Linked DNA regions of Lonchura striata. The protein of the gene in region 2 interacts with the protein of the main gene of each other region in a biochemical or structural test. Links are inferred from orthologs where the notes say so. Each region holds a gene or a part of one and is shown on either strand. Other genes may lie near its edges.

What was found.
Region 1: the proteins of LYN (region 2) and FASLG form a complex in vitro, tested with the Homo sapiens proteins (2 studies listed by BioGRID, with this or other methods). The link is inferred for Lonchura striata from reciprocal best matches to the Homo sapiens genes LYN and FASLG.

The regions. Positions count from the first base shown.
Region 1 is NC_134611.1:356,723-367,552, forward strand, and holds FASLG (tumor necrosis factor ligand superfamily member 6), read right to left. Parts: upstream 5,033-10,830; 5' UTR 4,981-5,032; coding exon 4,627-4,980; intron 4,300-4,626; coding exon 4,254-4,299; intron 4,171-4,253; coding exon 4,142-4,170; intron 3,340-4,141; coding exon 3,315-3,339; intron 2,577-3,314; coding exon 2,182-2,576; downstream 1-2,181. UniProt on the Homo sapiens protein: Cytokine that binds to TNFRSF6/FAS, a receptor that transduces the apoptotic signal into cells. Involved in cytotoxic T-cell-mediated apoptosis, natural killer cell-mediated apoptosis and in T-cell development.
Region 2 is NC_134603.1:39,097,439-39,107,542, forward strand, and holds the start of LYN (tyrosine-protein kinase Lyn), read right to left. Parts: upstream 4,480-10,104; 5' UTR 4,382-4,479; intron 4,182-4,381; exon of another isoform or gene 4,092-4,181; intron 3,931-4,091; exon of another isoform or gene 3,805-3,930; intron 1-3,804. UniProt on the Homo sapiens protein: Non-receptor tyrosine-protein kinase that transmits signals from cell surface receptors and plays an important role in the regulation of innate and adaptive immune responses, hematopoiesis, responses to growth factors and cytokines, integrin signaling, but also responses to DNA damage and genotoxic agents.

The sequences.
Region 1 (10,830 bases), on a different chromosome or scaffold from region 2:
TCATCCCCTCCCAAGGGCCAAAGCTCGTCCTGCCCCAGAGCTGACTGCAGCCACAGCATGGGTTTCTGTGGGGTGACCTAGGGAGGCCTCTGGGATCCTTCCAGCCCTTCCAACCCCATGCCAGCAGGCACAAGAGCAGCAGGGCAGGTTTCCTGAGGGTCAGGAATGCCCTGCCTCTCTCCAGGCTGCTCCCCAGTAAAAAGGGAAGCACCTGGTGTGCTCGGCTGGTTTGGCTACAGAGACAGCTGTACAAAGAGCTTCCCACTCCCCACTTGGATGTCCCACCACCAGGAGAGCAGCACAGCCCAAAGAGCAATCAGAAGAGGACAGCGATTTCCAGCCTTTCCTGGAAAGGTCTGGATGCAGCAGCTCCATCTCTGTGCTGTGCAGTTTTACCCTCTGATATGTGCAGAGAAAAAGTCAAGGCAGAAGACCCCTGAACTTCATCCTTTTGAGATACTTTCCACCCTGAGAAATGCAGTGGAAACAGCAGCAATGTGAGCAGGGCTGCACTTTTCCCTTCCCTCTGGCTACAGCAGTAGCCAGACCACTGAGAAGTTTTGAAGAAATAAACTTCTCTGAAGCAAACAACACAAACCACAGGCCACCAAGCTGCGAGCAGCACCGTGGCAAAGGAAACAAATGCTGCAGGCTGCTGGGGAGCCACAGGCACTGAGAGCAGCAGCAGAGCTGCAGGAGGCAGGAGCATGGGCAAGGCTGAAGATGGAGCAGCTGCAGCCTTTGTGTCCTGCTGGTGGCAGGGGCAGTGACAACCCCGGGGTTAGAACTCCGTGGGGCTGACACCAGGATGAACAAATAGGCTCTGGGGTTTTTTTTTACACCACTTTGTTTCTTTGCCCTTAGACCACTCTGTGAGAAGTGTTTCTGGGGCCAGAGGTCACACAGTGGTGCCTTTGGAGACAGGCAGCAGCACTTCTGCTCAGCCACCAGTGCCCAGCTCCTCTCCAGCTCTGAATTGAGCTCAGCCCTTCCTGGTGGCCAGCATGGGTTCGGGCTGCCTGCTCTGTGCTGCCCACACCACACCTTCCCAGCCCCAGATCCTGCTGTTTCAGTGCTGGAGCTCCAAAGCCTCATGGAAAGGGCCTTGTGCAGTGCCAAGTGGGCAGCAAAGAGGGATGAGGCTCCCAGATTTCTGCCACGCTGCTGGAGAAGGAATGAGGCACTGACCCCTGATCACAGAGGCTTTGCAGTGCTTTGGCCATGGCCCAGCCTGTTGCACCAAATGAGGAGAGGACCACTCACTAGAAAAATATATATTTACTATCTGTGTTTTTCTCAGGAGGGAATATCTCATGGCAAGGACCCAGCCAAAGACAGGTGCCAGCATGTCACCAGCTGCATCAGGAAAGGGCTGGCAGACCAGGCCTCCATGGAGAACCCTCCTGTGCTGAAAGGGCAGCAGGGGGGCTCGAGATGCTGCTTCCACCTCAAGCCCCACTGCCCTGCGCTGCTGTGTTGCTTAGATTGCACCAGCAGAGCCCGTGGCCACCCCACCATCCCCACCACCATGGGGTGGTCACGCTGCCACCTCTGGGACATCCCTCAGGGCACTGCTGCTGCTGGCATGTTCCTTGCAAGGCAGCTGGGATGAGTTAAATAAAGTGGTTGGGGAGCATTTTCTGGGTTGGGAACGGTCCATAGCTTAACACCAAATGAACACAGCACCTATCCCAGCCCAGACAGCAGGAGCTGCCTGTGGTACAGCAGTCCCACAGTGCTGGGCAGCGCCTGCCATGGCTCAAGGGGAGCAGTTGTTCACACTGCTCATCCCCACACCACTGTCTGTGGTGTCGTGGCACGACCCAGACACCTCCATAACACCCCCCAGCTGTCCCCACCAGGGCTGTGACACCACGGGGAGCAGCAGATCCCACCATCTTCTCAGGCAGTAGTGAGTTCCAGCAGGGTCTTCTGCACGCCACTTTCTGAGTTTGTTGGGGTTTTTGTAAGGAGAATATGTGCAATTCTCTTCAGGCTGATGCAGCACAGCCTGGTGCTTTCCAGGTGTCCGCTTTCAAGCCTTTCCCAGTTGCTTGGATCCCCTCGTGCTGAAGCCCAAACACGGTTTCTGGCTGGGTTTTGTGGTGCCCAGGCAGGACTCAGCCCTCACACATCCGTGTGGGTGTGGGTGTGTGAAGGGGCTGCCAGCCACGCTCCCTTTCAAAGCTTAAACAAACCAAAGAAAGTCTTGGATTCCTCAAAGTTCACCAGGGCGATTTTGGAGACGTTGACGTGCAAGCTGTCCATCTTCCTGAGCTTGAAGAGAGCCCCCAGGTAGCTGTTGCGGGCCCACATCCTCTGGTCCTTGCAGAAGTTGGTGGCTTTGTCCTCCATGAGCACGAGGCTGCCCGGGGAGGCCGGGTTCCTCTTGTACACCACGTGGGACAGGAGGTGGCTGTCACAGGCGCTGCCGCGGAACAGCACCTGCGAGTACACGAAGTAGAGCCCCGCCTCGCTGACCAGCAGCCCCCGGTCCCGGTACTGGATGCCGCTGGTGTAGGCATGGCCAGAGGTGGGCTCCCACTCCAGGGGCAGGTCCCGCTGGGCTGGGTTGCCTGGAAGCCAAAACGAGACCCAACAAAATGGTGGGAAGCACATTGGGTCGGGTGGTTTTTGCTCAGGTCGCACCCCACGTCACGAGGCAGCCGTTCTCCAAGCCTTGTCTGCAGTGTGGGAAGTCCTCCCAGGCCTCACCCCTCACCAGTGCCAGCTCCAGTGCCACCTCCTGCCCTGCACACCCCAAAAACCAAGCCAGAGCCAGGTTTTGCTGAGAAGCATAAGTGAGGGGGAGGGTTCTGTCTGAGGAGCAAATTTCCACTGTCAGAGCAGACATGTCACCCAAGGAGGACAGCAAAGCCTCTGTGGGGTGGGCTCCTCATAACGCCAGCCATGGCACCCCTGAGCCCATCCCAGCTGCCATGGGACCCTCTCTGAGCCCATCCCACTGCCATGGACCCCTGAGCCCATCCCAGCTGCCATGGCACCCCCTGAGCCCATCCCAGCTGCCATGGACCCCTGACCCCATCCCAGCTGCCATGGGACCCCTGACCCCATTCCAGCTGCCATGGCACCATCAGAGGCCATCCCGGCTGCCATGGGACCCTCCCTGAGCCCATCCCACTGCCATGGACCCCTGAGCCCATCCCAGCTGCCATTGCACCCCCTGAGCCCATCCCAGCTGCCATGGACCCCTGAGCCCATCCCAGCTGCCATGGCACCATCAGAGGCCATCCCGGCTGCCATGGCACCCCTGAGCCCATCCCACTGCCCAGCCCTGCTCCCCCAGCACGTACCTGTTACATGGGCTGCCCTCCTCACCTCCTTCCCCTGCCCTGCACAAAGATAGAAAAGACATTGGCCACAAGCTCCACGGAGGAGTCAGCCCAGAGAGCAGGGGGCACCTGAGACCCTGCAAAGCCTCCATCCCACTGCCAGGCGGGGAGTGGAGCTGCCCTCAGGAAGGGAGAGCACAGCTGGGAAAGCTCTGCCTGCCCTGCAGGCCTGAGTTCCCTTTGGAGAGATGGGCCCATTCCAGTGACTCTGTATTTGGAGCCCATCCCACTCCATCCCTTCACTTCTCCTCAACATCTACTTCATCTTCTCTAATTTCAGAAGCAGCCTTTTCTTTTCAGAAGCCAATTAAATTTTCCTCTCCGCTCCCCCTTCTCCTTTACACTATTTCCCTTTATCCAGCTGCCTCAAGAAATTCAGGTTTATTATTTATGTTCAGTCTCTGCTAAAGAAGCCTGTGATCAGAGCACTGGGCATTGCAGTTCAAATGAGAGCTCACCTTCCCCTAAAGAGGAAAATTTATTGGCATAGGAGTTGATAAGAACCAGGACTTCCCTTTCCCAAGAATTTTGCTATTTCAGGGTTTTTTTTATTCAGTATCAGAACAAATTTGAAAATAAATTTTCTAATTAATAAAATTCTCAAGGGGGAAAAGATGAAAACTTTTCAGATCTAGAAAAAGCTGTCTAGAGGACTGAATATCTCTTTCTGACTTGGTCATTTTTGAAAAGGATATCCTCACTTATAACATTAACATGGAATGCAAAAGAAAAGCAATAGTTTGGAAGTTCAAACCACAATTCTTAAATTGTTCCAGCCAAATTGAAACCTCTCTTTTTTTTTTTTTTTTTTTTTTCCCTAAATGAAATCTAGAAGAATTGGCAGGTTCTTGTGGAAAGTTTCAATTTCACTGAGGGTTCCTCCTGCAGGCACGGACTCACCTGTGAGTTTCTGAGAGACTGGAGGGATGTGCTCAGCGCTGGCAGACTGGCAAGAGAGAAGAGGGACAATGGCTTAGACTGAGAGCATGAGCAGCTGGGGACTGCCTTGGACAGTGGCTCAGTCTGGTGTTTTGGCTCCACGGGGAGCTGCAAAGTGCTAAGAAATACACGGGGAGAGAGCTGGCAGCGCTCGGGAGCACAGAGATGTGCTGATAAATCAGTCACCAACCGAGCAGTCCCTCACGGGAACAAGCAGACAGAGAAATGCCACCGAAATGCCCCCATCCTGCCCCTTGGGAACATCTCAGCCCCGTTCCAAGAGTTCCTTTTCCCCGTTTCCCCAGGGACCTGCTCCCAGCCAGGCAGACCTCACCTCTCGGAGTTCATCCACCTCCTTCTCCAGGTGAAAAATCTTAAATATGCTCAGCCCCACTCCGGTGAAGGCCACCAGGATCAGCAAGAACATGACGAGGAAGCCGACACTTCTCCTTTCCCGGTCGCTGCGTGGCTTTGTGCTCCGGTCGGGGACGGGCGGCGGGAAGGGAGCGGCGGGGGCAGCCCCAGCATCGGCACAGCCGTCCACCCAGAAGATCTGCGGGTAATAATTGAGGTTCTGCTGCACGGGCGGCAGCGGCACGGGCCGGACCTGCCTGCCGGGCTCGTCCTTGCGGCGCCCGAGCCCCGCCGGGCCAGCCCCGGGGGCGGCTCTGCCCTGGTACGGCTGCATCCGTGCGGCTGCGAGGGATGCTGCGACTCCGAAAGCCTCGCAGCATCGGCAGCAAAGCCCCTTCCGGCCCGGCTGGGGCTCGGGAGCCACCCTCCTCCCACAGCCCCGCTCCGACAGCCGCAGCCGCTCCCCAAAAGCGCCCGGGCCGCTGCCTCCGCACTCCCGACCGCCGGCGGGTCCGGCCGGCCGCAGGAACGGCAAAGCCTCCGGACCCCGCACCGCACGGGAGGCACGGAGCCGGGGAGCCCCCGGGGCCGGGGATGCGGAGCGGGGGAGCCCCCGGGGCCGGGGATGCGGAGCCGAGCCCGGGGGATGCGGAGCCGAGCCCGGGGGATGCGGGGGTCGCTCCGTTCCTGGCGGCCAGCCCGCAGCTCCGCAGCGCACGGAGCTCTCAAAGCCTCGGAGGGCAGGAAGGCAGGCGGGCAGAGCTGCCCCAGCGGGAGCAGAGCCAGCTCCGCGGCTGCCCTCTCACCTTCCGAGGAAAAATAGAGAGTCCGGACCATGCCGAAAGGAGCAGCACTTTCAAGAGCTCGTTACAATACCCTAATGAAAAGAGACAGGGACATATCCATTTCTCGATTTCCATTCCTCATGTACTGCAGATTTCTAAGTGGGGACAGTGAGATTTCCCCACAGATTTACAGGTGCACACAAGCAATTAGGGACACTTTTCCTTGCACTTTACAGACCCCTGTTGAAGTGTGTATTTTTATGGGGTAGTGTTCAAAAAAAGGAAATGATTAATACAAGAGCAAACCAGAGATTAATTTCTCCTGTGGCTGAAGGAAGCAATCACAATACACAGACTTTGATCTTGAACATCAAAACTGGGATCTGTAAAAGGCACATTCAAACCTTTGTACACTTGTTTCTCTGAAGCAAGGGCTCAGCTTTGCCTGCAACCACACCAATAAATCAGATGTGCTGACAATGTCTTGCACCACCAGACACCCCACTGCTTTTTGGAGATATTCACCAGCCTTTTGCTTCAGCAGCCATCCACATTACAGGTTTCAACAACTCCATCTAGCTCTTCCTCACACTTCAGGGTTTAAGAGACACAAGAGCAGAAGAAATCCAACCCTAACAAGTTCAAGCTTGGTTGTGCCTAGCCTGGCTCAGTCCCCCTGTCTCTGTCCCAGAACAGCCACCCAAGTCCCCATCCCCTCCCACAGCCATTACAAGAGAGGGTCACACTATGGCTTTGCCTGGAGAGGATCCATTCCACATTTTTCTGACACTGTGTTAATGCCAACAGCTTGTTGAGGTGGGACTGAGGAGAGAGTAGCAGTTTCCCTTAAATGTCACTAGTATTCTTACTCCACACCCACTGCTTCCCGCTTTCACAAAGATGTTTTTTAAAGGGAGGGTGAGAGGGAGAGACAAGGAAACCAACTGAAGCAATTTCAGCTGCACCTTCTTTTTTGGATGCCCAGATGAAGAGCCCAAGATCCTGCTAACACCCCATGTGGTGGCAAACCAAAGGTTGGGGCTGTTTTACCATCAAAAATGCTTAGTGCACAAAATGCTTTCAGGGACCTCTCCCTCTGCTGGCCCTGCTGTCACTCTCCGTTTTCCTGCCACCCCCTTCAGACACCACAAGATGCCAGACACTGACTGGGAGGTGGTGCCAGGCAGGGCTGTGTCTGCAGAGCACATCAGAATCCCAGAGCCACAGGATGGCTGGGGGTGGAAGGGACCTCTGGAAATCCTCTAGTCCAAAAAAGAAAGCAGGTTGTGGTGCCTGCAGGCTCTGTGTTCTGCTGGCTTCAATGCTCAAATGACACAGGATATGAACAGGACCACTGAAATAATGGCAGGACAATTTGCTGTAGGTGGGCACTTCAGGCACGTGAATTTTGCTAGAAGGCCTAGAGCCAGAATTTAGACAAGGCTGAGGCCATCCTAACAAGGACAGCTGGGCAGGAAAACAGGGCATAAAGGAGGACAAAAGGGGTGTCAGATTTGCCTCCACCACCCTATCCCCCTCTTGAACCTGTCTGTACACCCTGTTTCCAGCAGCCCTGTTACATCACTTGAACATGAAGGAATATTTTCCAATGGAAGCACCTTCCATAGCCCTCACCAGAAATTGTTCCCCTTTACCAAACCAACAAAAACATTACACAGACTGCAAAAGAGGATTTGCTCAGAAGAACACTCTCCTTCCCCAATTCACCCGCAGAGGAGAGGTGGGAACTCTTATTAACAAGACACACAATTATGTTAAAGTTGATGGCAGAGAATCAGCCAGCAGCTAAGAGTTTGTATCAGCAGAATTTAGGGACCTGCCTGAAACAGCCCGAAGAAAGCAGGACTTGAACAATGATCCAGATCTAATACTTGACAGAAAATAAACCCTGAAACTCAAAACAAAAACTGAAGTGTGAACCTCTGTGTAGGAGAGGCTCTCACTGTGTTTTGGACAGTCTCTCTGGAAGCAATTAACAACTATTTCCTATTACACTAATGACTAGTGGAAATGGTAAAAAGCAGCTCTTGAAAGCCGCAGGAAGTGCACCCAAGAGCAACTGGGAAAGTTGAGAATCATTCACATTCAAAAACACAGGATTCAACATCATTAGGACAGAGAATTGAATCAGAAGAAAACAAGGCAAGGAACAAAGACTGAAGATCAAGCTCTTTGGGTAGAAAACAATGTGCTAGAAAGAAAACAAGTCTGAAGCTGAGAGGCACCTCAGCTGGACATGAGCTTCCAGCAGGGAAAGCCCACAGGGAAAGCTCCCGTGAGAGCTCACACACAGCTCTGGACAGCACAGACACTCCTGGAATCACTTCACAAGTCTTTGTTCAACTCCAGAGAGGCTCTGGAAGAAGTTGCAGGAACTGTTGGACAGAAAGGAGGTTCAAATTTGTCTGTTCAAGAGCAGATTGGCCGGGAGGGATGGACAGCGTGTGGAAAACCTGTAAAGAGAGGGATGATTTCCAGCTCTTAAATCTCACAGGATAAAAAAGCTTCCCAAGGAGCCACGAGTTGTGAGCCAAATCTGAAGGAGTTTGAACGAAAAGATGGATTTTTGACTGAACACTGGTATGAATGCTTGTGAGAGCTGCCTTCAAAGGGAGTGGGCCTCCATCTGCTGAAGCCTCAGAGGGGTGTGGAAGATAGCAGAACTCACCCAGCCTTTGCAGTTAGCACCAACATCTTCATGTTGTTTTCTTTATTCTGTGTTTATTAACAGTTTGGTTTCTCAAACACAGGTGATGCTCTTCATTTCCTCAACAACTGCTCTCCTTGCAAGGAGCATTTGTTGCACATATAAGCCATGACAAGGACATTCAGATATTCACACACAAGAACAGGTTTTCAAGTCCACTGATAACAGCTCTGCCCTGGCATTACAGTGCTTAACGCATCCCTCTTCCAGTGAGCAAGGTGCTCTGTCCCCTCCTTCACCCTGATTCCAACAAGCAGCCAGCAGCCCTGGATTCAGCAAGACAGGGTGAGAGAAAACACATGGGCCCGAAGCAGATGAGAACAAGAGGAGTACCTAAAATATTACTCTGCTGCTTTCATTTCTTCTGTGCTTGTGGTGAGAGCAGGGAAATGAGGTATAGTGGTTATGAGGTCAGGGGATCTATTCTGAGAAACAGCAGCAGGGTCATTCCATGGTGCCACAGGGCAAAACAGAACAAGGTGCTGTGGCCAGCTGTGAGGAAGACCAAGAGAAGTGCAGGTGTTGAGTCCCTGTCCCCGCAGCTGAAGGGAGGACAGACATTGCCAAGGGTCTCATTCCCAAGCCCTTCTGCAGGGTCTGTGCCCTGCCCCAGCCTCTGGGCACAAAGCCAGCCCCAGCCCTGGCAAACAGCAGCTGGCTCTGCTGGCCAGGGGGGCTTGCCTGGTGCTTGACAGGTTTATTTCTTCTTGGGAGCAGCCAGCCTCAGCCCATTCAAACAAAACGGTAACTGTGGCATTACAACTCACAGAAGCTGCTTCCAGTTATTTTTCTGGGAAAAGAGAAGCAGCAGACAGGGGCTGCTGTTTGCTGCGAGCTCACAGAGGGCACCGCAGCTGGACGGAGGCTCCAACCACATCTAACAGGGCAGAAAAACTGGCCCCAAGGTGGCAAACGTTTCTGTTCCATCTCTAGGTCCACGAGGGGCAGAGCTCAGCTCCTCTGCATCGCCTCCCAAAAGCTGCCCTGCTGCGTGGGAGCTCCTGGTGACTCAGTGGAAAGCAGCAGAGCAAGGGCCAGCCCCTGTTCAGGACCAGAGAGCAGCAAGGCAGCAGGAGCCTCCTTGGAAGCTTCTTCCAAATCCATTCTGCTTAAATTGGAGAAGGGCTGTCAAGGTGAGTGAGCTTCCGCACTGAGCTGTCACCTGTGGGAAGAGGCCCTGGAGCTGTCACCAAGCCCAGCAGCAGCTGCTGTTGGACACTCAGGGTTTCCAGGAGATGAGACACCCCACAGCACCCCGTGGGCAGGGCTCTCCACTTCTCTGTTCCAAATGAAGTGGAACATTTTTGTACCTCACAAAGCAAAACCTGCTAAGCTGTTCCACCTCGTGCTGTAACTTGGCAAAAGCAGAAGCCACACACCACCTCAGATCTGAGTTTTCTGCTTACATCACCACACAGGCTGGTAGGGTCTGCATCTTCAAGAAAGCCTGGATTTCCACTGATATTGAATGTATATGAACACCTTACTTTGGCAAACACAGCAATGCACTTACACCAGGTGTGTTTGCACCCATCCACCCTCACATGGAAACCTTCACAGGACCTGCCCAAGGACTGAGGGACACCATCCTCACTCCAGCACACACTTTGCTTTTAGGTGTTTTACACCAACAGCTGTCCAACCTTTGCTTGCAATAATGAGACAGTCACACAGGAATTTCTGATGTATAAACTGTCTTCATTAGAAATTATTATTTCTACATAAAGTTAATAACCAATTTAAGAGACTTGATTCCATAGAACCAAATTTTGAAAGCAAGATTGCATGACATTATTAAAACTGAAAGTAAAAAATTACTCAAGAGCCCACATGAAAGGAAAACATTAGGCAATCTCTTACCTGATGGTAATTTTTTTAAAGGAAGTTAAAAGATTACTAAAAGCAGCGTGGCAGTAGCAGGTGGAATCTGTGGTTCAATCTCCAATTTCTTACCAGAACACACTCTCAAGTCTGCAAAACCATAATTGGGCCAGTAGGTTCCTTCGGATGCTTTATTTCCATGGCACACTGCCCACGTGTTCATTACAGGACAAGCTTTATCACTGGTACCTTTCCACAGAATGCATCAATTCCTTAGACCTAAGTCAGGCCCAGTATAGAGGGAGCAGGGTATTAAGGGACCAGATTAGAATTACATTTGGTTTTACATCTGCAATTGTCAACTTGGAAATCTGAATATGTGATTGGGATTTCAACATGCAGTCCCATTTATCAGCACAGGATAGAGCTGGGAGTTCTCTAGTTCATAGCCAGTGTCTGCTTTAAGAAGGGCTGTTTAAGAATTCGGTCATGTCCAGCTTCAGGTAATTCCTACTGAAAACCCCTGGGCAATAAAGGTATACACACTTCTAACAAGTGACATAACAAGAGGAAGGAGTAAATAAAAGAAACCCACACTTCCCCACCCCCCAAAACACCCTGCACACTCCTCCCTCAGCAAACTCCACATTCAATTATATTTTTAAATCCTAGTTCTGTGATGAAGCAGAGTCCTGAGACACTCAAGTGAAAACTCAGTGCTGGGGAGGTCTCCTCTGACAAGCAGATGCTGGCCAGCCTGTGAATCTGGCATTTGGCTGCACAAATCCTGCTGGGCTTGACAGAAATAAGTCAGGGGGGAGGGACCAATAAGGGGCAAACTTCAAGCTGA
Region 2 (10,104 bases):
AGATTTCATTAAAAGAAAAAAAAATTAAACAGGTTTGTATACACCTATGTATACAAACTAAGGAAGGAAACATGAAAAAAGCAATAGATTGTAGATACCACATCAGAAAGCCCACTTAACAGATTATGCTTTTTTTGACCAACTTCCTGAAACTTCTTTTTTTAAACCAACAAAGGAGAAGTTAAAAGCACATCCCAGAGGGAGTCCTTTCCTTTCAAAATTTTATCATTTCCATGCTTAGAGTGACCCCCAATAATAGAGAAACCTGCAAGAAGTGCTATTGCAGAAGAGTAGCTGCATCCCATACTTCAACACTTTTGGAGAACTATTATGTGTTCCAGTTTACGATTGCACTATTTCCTATCACAGCTGGCCTTTGCAAATTAAAGCAAGAAATTCTATAATATGTCAACCACAGGAAGAAGAAACCTTCTGCCACATGCAGCAGAGACCATAGAGGAAGAAGTTCACTTTGTTGAGACTGTTTATCATTGGAGTCCTTTGAACTGAAGACGTAAGACAAGTGTGCTGTGCAAACACAGGAACCAATTGTAGATACATAAGATGCCAGCAGTTTGAAAAAAATAGGCAATGCTGACTTAAGGGAGACCAAAGGCTGGCCTGGACAGAACTAGTCCACTCTTCTAACCCACCAGAGAAATGAGATCTACCCATTATTTCCTCCACCTTCCCCCAGTGTCCTCCTTTATTTTCTCTCCAGCAAAGTGTTACTGTCAAAATACCATTTCTCTTCTGACATTTGCCTGACAAAAGTAACTGATCTATTTACCTCTATGAGTAGTTTTTTAAGGCACAAAGCAAATACAAGTATCCCATAAATATTTGGAGGAAATGCTTCCAGCACATGATGAGTTCTGCGTTCGTGTTTTGTTCCATGAACCCACATTTTTCAGGAAAGATGCTGAACTCAAACGTGAATAATTCAGTCTCGGAAATTACAGCATTTAATGACAATGTCAACAGGAAATGTATCTGAATCAGGCAAAAATAAATATGAAGGCACAGACCTTTCCATCCTTCCCTGAAGGACAATGAAGTTTAAACTAGGAACAGTCACACTGAGGACAGTGACATTGCATTTGTCTTTTATTAGTACAGGCTAATTTATTTGAGAAGGCACCATTATTGCTTACAGGGTGGCAGACTCCTTCACCCTGCATGCGTCATTAAAGACTGTTTTCATACAAATGTAATTTTACATTTTTATCTACAGTTTCCTGTGGCATGGCTTAGCAAGTCTGGAAGCTTTTCTTATTACACCATCTCTAGCATTCCTATACTCTCATTAAAGAAGGGAGAGAAATAAATGGGAGAAATAGGAAGTAGGAATATGAACAACAGGACAAAAATCCTAATTCTCAGCTGGGAAACTGTTTTTTCTATAGAATGAAGCCTTTTTGCTTAGAGACGGAAATCCTACAGAGGCAATATTATAACAAATGCTGCTTAACAGATCACATGGTTTGGTGTAATTACTTACACACTTGGCTCCATAGCTTTGAAAGGAAGTATCGTTCCCTGCATATAAAGCTCACAGAACTCTCAGGATCCCCAGCTGACAGATTCTCCTCCCATCCCTTGCATTAGCACATGATGGCTCATATTCTTCTGAGATCTCTGTGCCATGAGACATCCCCCTCTGTGTACAGCAGATTGCCAGGAATCCTAGGTTATACCTAATGCCCACCCCATTAATTAGTTAGGTAAGTTAGTTAGTTAGTTATTCCCCATGAACTTATCTTCGGGGTTCACTCAGTTTTGAAAAGGGCTCCCTGAACCCCAAGAGTAAAAATGGTTTTACAACTCCTTAGACAGAAGAAAAAACTGTCACTCAGTTACTCAGGATATGCACATATGGAAAGGAGGAAAGATCTCATCCCCTTCCCAGATCACCTAGCCCTTTGAACAAAATAAAATTGCCTTCTGATCAACATGTGTTCATCCCAAAATCTCAAAGATTCCTATTAAGATTCAAAATAACATTCAGAGTAGAGGTAGGCAAACATCTCCTTTTTGTGACAGCAATGGAATCACATCTGAGATTAAATATGGCATCACTTAAACTTTCCCAAATAACTACAGAGAGGCCAATGATGCTCCCTGACGTGCCCCACAAGAAGGGCCAGGTGTAGCATCTCTGATTTGGTGAGACAACTCACTGAAGAACAGAACTAAGCTGAGCCAGGAGACCTTGGACTTGTTTCCATTGCCTGTCACAGGAATTGTTTCCCTCAACACCTGCTGCTCTGTGATGCCATTTAGCTTATAGGAGTCAAAAATGCCATAGGAAGAGAGGTCACTTCAATTACACAGATAAACTGGGCGGGGGGAAAGTACTATGAAATAGTTACTTGTACATTCATAAATACCTGTTCATAATCACCTGCAAGGAATAGTTTCACATTTATGGAAACTCTCTTGAAAAGGGTAACATTAAACCCCATAGTATTGAACAACTTAAAGGCAACAGGGTTTAACTTTGCATTGTAAAGTTTCACAATTGATTGCTTTGTCAGAGTCATTGCACAACTCAAGGGTCAAGGGGCTTAAAAAGGAAGGCCTAAACCTTACCATGTCTTCTGTACATTTCTGTAAGAAAAACCTCTTATTTACTCAAAAATGGAGAAAAGCTGAATAACTTGAAGTGAGCCAGCTACTGTACAAGGATAATCATTCTATGTCATCATGGTTAAAAAAAAAATCTATCAGAACAGCACACAATTAAAACAGATTTTTATGTTATTAAGTAAAGAATTCTTTCCTAACTAGTCTGTATCTCACAAAGTTGAAACAGAGAAAGGAAAAAGCTTTAAATCTCAGAAGAGATCCATAAAACAAGACATCTTTTGATCTCACAGTTCATTAATTTCAACCCTTCTCTAAGGCTTCATAACATCCTTTTAACAGTATCTAACTGATTTCTAGCCTGTTGCTACTTTTTCAGAGAAAACGATTTGATTTTTTTCTCATCCATACTTTCAATGCTGTTGATAGTCTGTATTAAAAAGATAACACCTATTCTGTCCTCAGTGTTGGGTTGGAAACTATCGACACAAACACAATTTGACTCTCCTTTTGGTAAAATTGAGCTATGTTTTCCCAACATAGCTTTGCAATTTCTCAACACGTATCTTCTGCTTTTTGTTTTAACTCTATAGTGATACTGTGTTGAGTGCAGACTTATCCACGTGGCACTTGTACTTCACAGATACTTTCAATTAACATTACTATTCCTAAATTGCAAAAGTCATACAGGTACTTGATGGGATCCAGATTAAAAATTTTAATTTTCAATTTGTACTGTGATGTCCTAAAATACATTAAGATTGTCCAGAGTGTTTCTCTTTCTTCAAAGGTGGGAACGAAAGGCAGAAGATGGGATATTGACTAGAGGTTTCAGATAAAGCTTAGCTTTGTTCTTCCTATGTATATCCGCGGGAATATGACCTGGCTAAATAAGTTTTAAGCGTTAATCCCTTTGGTCTTTATTGCCAACAGAGGGGAGCAAGGCAGCAAGATGAGTTTGTGCCAACTCATTCACTGCAAACACTTGAAAGATGTAATTTAACAGAAACTCTTAACTGCTTTACTGAAGGTACAGCATCACCTCCTAAACTAAAATTGTAAGGAGAAAACACTTCAAGACTGTTCCTTAGGAATACAGTACCTATAATAGCAGTCTGCAAGAAACACTGCACACCAAGCATCACAACACCATTTCCTCATCTTTTAATTCCAAGCACATTTGAATAGACACTTAAGAAGAAGAAGCTTTAACTTGCAGAATGCACGATAAATTATGCTCCTCGAAAAAAAGCAGCGTAAGAAGGGATACCCAGAGATCACATCACCTCACCTCAGTCAAGGCTATCGTTTTGGCTCGAAACGCCGACTGCGGACTTAAACCGGGTAATTTCACACGCTCCCCGGCACGAAACAGCCAGAAGGCACCCGAGCCCTCCGGATCACAGCAGAAGCCAGGCAAAGGAGTATGAGATAAATCATGCTTTTGAGAACGATTATTTTATCCCAAACGCGGTTATTTCCCTTAAGACCCCATCCAGTCCTACCGGGCAGGTCGAGAGGCAGCGGCACCTCCTTGCGGGGGCAGAAGCGAGGGAGAGCCGCCCGGCAAGCGCCTGGTCCCGCCGCTCCGCTCCGCTCCGCGCCGGGGCGGGGCGGGGCGGGGGCGCGGGGCAGCGCGGCCGGGCAGCCCCGCGGGAGAAGCGGGGCGCTGGGCACCGCCGCTCCCGGGGGAAGGCACTCACTGTCCCGGGGGAAGGCACTCACTGTCCCGGGGGAAGGCACTCACTGTCCCGGGGGAAGGCACTTACTTACTTTCCCGGGGGAAGGCACTTACTTTGCCGGGTGCGCAAGCTGCGCGGCAGCGAGCGAAGCGCGGGGCGCGGAGCGGGGCGCGGAGCGGGCTGTCCCGGGCGCCAGCGGCGGGGCCGGAGCGCGGCTGTCGCGGCGCGGGCGGGGCGCGGCCGCGGGAGGCTCGCAGCCCGGGTACTTCCTGCTGCCGGGCAGCGTTTGCATGTGGTGGACAGCGGGCGAGCGGCAGAGCGGGGGCCGGCCCCGGCCCGGCGGCTGCGGCTCCTCCGGCTGGAGGCTGTGCCGGGGACGAGGTGGGGCAGGGGCTGCGGCGGAGTGTCGGGGGTCCGCCCCGCCGAGCTGCCTCAGAGGGGAGCGAGCCATCATGAGCCTCGGAAAGTTACAGCAAAATAAAACTCTGTTAGTCTGATAGGCAAAAAAAAAGCTCTCTTGTTCCACCAACAGCCAAAAAACCATTTGAACTCCACAAATCCACTCTAAGTAGCTTCTAAGGTCAATTGGAGGCTTGGTTGAGAGAAACAAAACAAGTAAGCTTATCTTTCAATGTTTCATTTTATTTCAAGAATGATTTACTAGCCTGGTGAAAAGTGAAATAAAAATCTCACAGGTCAGGAAAACAGGAAATATGAATGCATGGACATAACAGCCAGAGGATGCAGGTGAAAAGCTTTACAATAACTAGAGTCAAGTGTCATGTGTGTACTGCCAAGCCACATGGGCGAGTTCAGGTCATGGAGATTTCCAAGGCAGAATTTCAAATGAAAAGCATTTAAGCTTTCCATATAGAAGTGTTTAGATAATGGATCGAGTTTGAGAAAGAGTCAAAGTGTTACAAGATGCAAGACACTCAAAGGCACCTCTGTACACATTCCCAAAGTCCACCAGCACAGCCTAACTGTGGGTTGGAGTGGACTCAGGAACTGGTGAGGACTTCTAACAGGACACCCAAATAGCTGAAAATAGCTCAGTGCGGGTCACACCCTGTTGGGTTCATGAGGAGAACCCGATTCATGTCAATTAACTTATAGATCTTTGGTGCTGATGTAAAGGCCTGGCACTCCTGGTGATGTGCAGCTGGCACAATCACTGCACACTGGTTGGTGTTTGCTGCAGTCCCGTCTGATACCCTGGCTCCAGCACACAGGTGTCTGCCTTGATCCTCTAGAAGACTCAGTCCATAGAAGCAGTGAGACCATAGTTTGTCACATTTCTTAATCAGTCCCAGATGTCCCTGGGCATCTCTAGAGCTCTGAAAAGTAGTGGGCAATAGTTTCTGGTCTTCTTTGAATTTTATCATCAATGTTTAAAATAATGTGGAAATACTCAGCATTAGACCAACCTCTAAAAGTATTGTAGGGTGAGACAATAAGGAATTCCTCAAGGAGGGGAGAAAACATTTACCAATTTTTAAGTAAAAAATTGGTAAATGTTTTCTCCCCTGCCCCAACTTAGGTAAAGATATTTCATAATAACAATAACAATAAGAAAAAACAACAATAAAATGAACAGACCAGACAACAACCTTTTTCCCAATGAAAACTTTATGTAAAAATGAAAGATCTGACTAAATATACATTGTCTTGGGTTTGGGGATTTCTTTTTGGTAGGAAATTTGGATTCCAAAAGTTTATGTAAAATGAGCTATTTCTGAAGTGCACAGTTAGTGCCTCATGTTTCCATTTTCCTCTATAGGACAAGCATTTTGATCTTGTAACTTTCTTCTTGGAGAAGTAGTGCACAAATCCCACATCTGTCTTGCTCGCCCTCCTTTCCTCTTTATATCTTCATTTCATTATCAAGTATTCTGCTGAGTTTAATATTCCCTTCTCCTAACAAAGCATTGGTGAAAATAAAATTTAGTTTCATAAATGCATAATAGATTCCAGCAGTCAAGTAGAATGCAATCCTATCTATAATGTAAATAATCTGGAAAAATAAAAGACGTGCTGAATTACCTTTAATAGATTGCTGTGCAATAGTAAATTGTGAGACAGAACAAACTCATCAGGTTTGCCCTAAAGGAACTAATATGAAGAAGTGTTAGAGTAGAATAAATACACTGTGCTTTATACTTTTTTTAAAAAGACAGGTTGTTAGTATCCCTTGAAATGTCATGGGTTTATGTATCATTGTTCCCACTGTTACAAATATATACAAAATCTACTTTAGAAAGTGTAAGCAGGAAAGGAAGTCTCTCATTATATATTCATCAAAAGGGAAAAAAAAGCTGATTCCAGCCTCACTACATCTACAGTAGGTCAGCTGTTCATCACATTTTAAATGTACATGTGCATAGATCAAGAGAGTTGGGGGATGGTGTAAAATGGGGCAAGAATGAAACCTCAAGCCTGTCACTGAAGGGGAAGTCCTTGCAGGAAGGACTGTGAGTCACATTAGCCAGCCAGTTCAAGCCCAGCAATTGATTTCCCACTTTGGAAAGATCTGACTCCCAGACAATGTCTCTACTGCTGATTTAAGCATGGCTGCAAGGCTGTGATCCAATATGAAGGCCAGCTGGCAATGTAGGGGTCCACGTCCATGCTGTTGGCATCCAGAACATGGGGACGACCCCAGAATGGCCCATGTGTCCTGGTTTCTGCTGGGATAGAGCTCAGTTTCTTCTTATTAGCTGGTGCAGTGCAGTGTTTTGGATTTAGTATGAGAATAATGTTGGTAACACACTGTAGTTTAGTTGTTTATGCTTTCACTAAGTCAAAGCCTTTTTAGTTTTCCATACTGTGACAGTGAGCAGGTACACCAGAAACCAGGATGGCGCTGACCTGAACTGGCTAAAGGGATGTTCCATACCTGTCATATTCCATATCCTGTCATATTTAAATATATCATATATATTATTATATACTGGGGAAGTTGGCCAGGAGGGAGCTGGTCATATTTTGGGGGTGGGCTGGGCACCGAGTAGTGGGTGGTGAGAAACTCTGTTGGAAAACACTTGGTTTCTCTTGGGTTTTATTCCCCCCCCCCCCTCACTCTCCTTTTCATTACTATTATTATTATTAGTAGTAGTAGTAGTGCTACTTCTACTACTACTACTATTCTTTTTTACTTTGTTTCAATTATTAAACTGTTCTTATCCCAACCCCTGAGTTTTTACCTTTTTCCAGGTCTCCTCCCTACCCCATTGGGAAAGCAGCACTGAGTGAGCAGCTGCCTGGTGCTCAGTTGCCAGCTGAAGCTAAACCACAGCACCACGTTAACTTTCAGATCAGCTCTGGAATATTTTTTGAGAGTGGTAAGTGGTCTGGGCCAGGGAAGAGTCGAGCAATTTGTCAGTAGACTCAGAGGAATGTCCAATGATATTTGGTTGGGCAGTGATTTAATGAGCCTTGTAGGGTTCACACCAATCCCTCTACATACCTGTGCTGATCCCTATTTGGATTGTGTCTGGGGGCATGAAGAGGCACAAGCTGCAGGGAACAGTGACTCTGGGCAGTAAACTAAACTTTGTCATGGACAATGAAAACAGGCAACAAACTTCTCTCTACATTTTATATATTCCTTAATCTCATTGTTGCTGAGTTCTTTCTGCGGTATGCTTGAATACAAAAGCAGAGCATTAATAGAAGACTAAAAAATAGACAGTAAAGCATAAATGGCATAACCAGGGAAATAATTAGTGGGAGATCCCAAGGAATACTTGAGTTCACTCAATTAAAGAAAAAACAGAGGAAATATCACTTTGTTCAAAAATAGATTTGTAAGAATTTAAGTTCTTTATAAAAGAGGAAGGAAAGATAGAGCATGGACACATGTAAAGCTGAAACATTTAGACATCTGGCTGTTTTGTATGAGCCAGAGTTTTGGAGTCACAGCAGACACAGTAAAATGTCTTTTCTTTAGAAATTCCAGCACTTACACAGTCACTACTTGTACTGTTTCTCTCATAATTTTATCTCAAGACATTATCATTAAGTAAATTGCATACTGTCAAAATGCTTTATAATAATGTAGCAAATTTTTAGCAAGTAATAAAGAGTGGATTTAAAAAAAATGAGATACAAGTCATGCAGTCATTCTTCACTCAGAGTTACTGGAGAAAATAAAAGCAGTATATTCTTTAGCATTATTTTTTTTAATAATTTCCTTTCTTATTGTAACCTACTATTTTAAAGAAAGTAATGTTGACCTATAAGTAGAATATGTATAAATTTTATTCTAAATATGCCCTTCATGTCCTAATGATGGGTTGCTTTTGTTTGTTAAAAAAAAAAATAGAAAATAAATTTTATTATCAAGTATGAGATAACAAGTTAATGGACCTTATATGTGGATATTTATCAGTTTCTGCTCTTATTTCCAGTTTGGAGCCTGGGAAAATTAAGTTTTGTGACACTAAAGAGAAATTCAAACAAAAAACCAAAATCTTAGTTTTAAATGTAGTTCCATTATGATTATTTGAAATATATCACACAATAATTTACAATCTTGACTAATTTTGTGATTAAAATTTTAGAAAATATTAAAAACATTTTGGGGAATAATGCACAAATCCTTATAAACTTTGACTCAACATTCATTTGACTTGTTGTTCAGACTAACAATACACATACTAACTAGGCTAAAGCTGGGAAAGCTGGCATCTTTCCTGTAGACAGTGATCTGCCTAAAGCACAGCCACTTGCATTTTATTACACTGATATTTTCTGGCCATAAATCCTGAATTCAGCCTTTTTTATTTCATCTTGTTACTTCCAGTTTCCATGAACAACTCATAATAATACAGCAGATACTTGGCTTGAGATCCTCTTGGCTTGAGATCCTCTAATTCTGAAAGTTAGTAAAAGCTGCTTCTTCTGCATCTTTGCTGATTTAAATATTTTATTCACCTGCCATTATGTGGTTTTATACATAGACATATTTCCCATTTTGTTTCCACTTGTTTAATGGCTGTGAGTGGAAAAATTGCTATTTAGGGAATAAAAGCAGGCCCAACACTGGAAGCCAGTTTGACAACCATCTGCATTGAACTAGGTTGTGTTGGTGGGACAGCATCCTGAGTATTCTGATGGAAGTTGAAACTGGCCTATGTGCACTACAGAATATCCCAATTGCCTTTCTGTAGAAATGACTGCTCAAATAAAAGGTTGTTGTGGTTCTCAAGAATATCATCCTACAGAGGCAAGAAAAGCAGCTGGACTGATGTGTTCTTCACAATTCATTTGGGTAGGCAATGAGAAGGTTGAGCTGACAACTAGTGACTCCAAGAGTCTTCCTCTTTTAAACATTTGTGGCCATTTACAGATATCCTTATTAATCTGAAGAGACTGCCCACACTAATAAAGAATGTGTTTAATTAATGCTTAATTTAGTACACAGTTCTGTGATCACTAATATTGAATTGCCTGAAAGAACAGATTTGAGCTAATCCAGGAACAGGTATGTGTGATCATTTCAAATTAGCAAGATCACACAGTGGGGATATTTTTGTTTGCTTGTTTTGTTTCTGCCTTATATTCAGGGCATTGCACCTCCTATTGCCAGCCTGGACAAGCATTCAGCCTGTGTCTTGCAGGTCCTGCACCACAGAAATTGCCAGTTCAGAAGCAACATATTGTTTCTGGAGGCTTTTTCACAGTGGGCTGTTGTTGAAGAGTAGCTTTCCTTTTCCAGGATCAGCTACTTGCTACAGAAAATTTCCCCGTGGAAAGGCACTGGCCCATTGTTAGCACTGCTGCCGTGCAAGGGCAGCGCAGTGCTCAGGCTGCCCTTGAACAGCTGCAGTAGCAG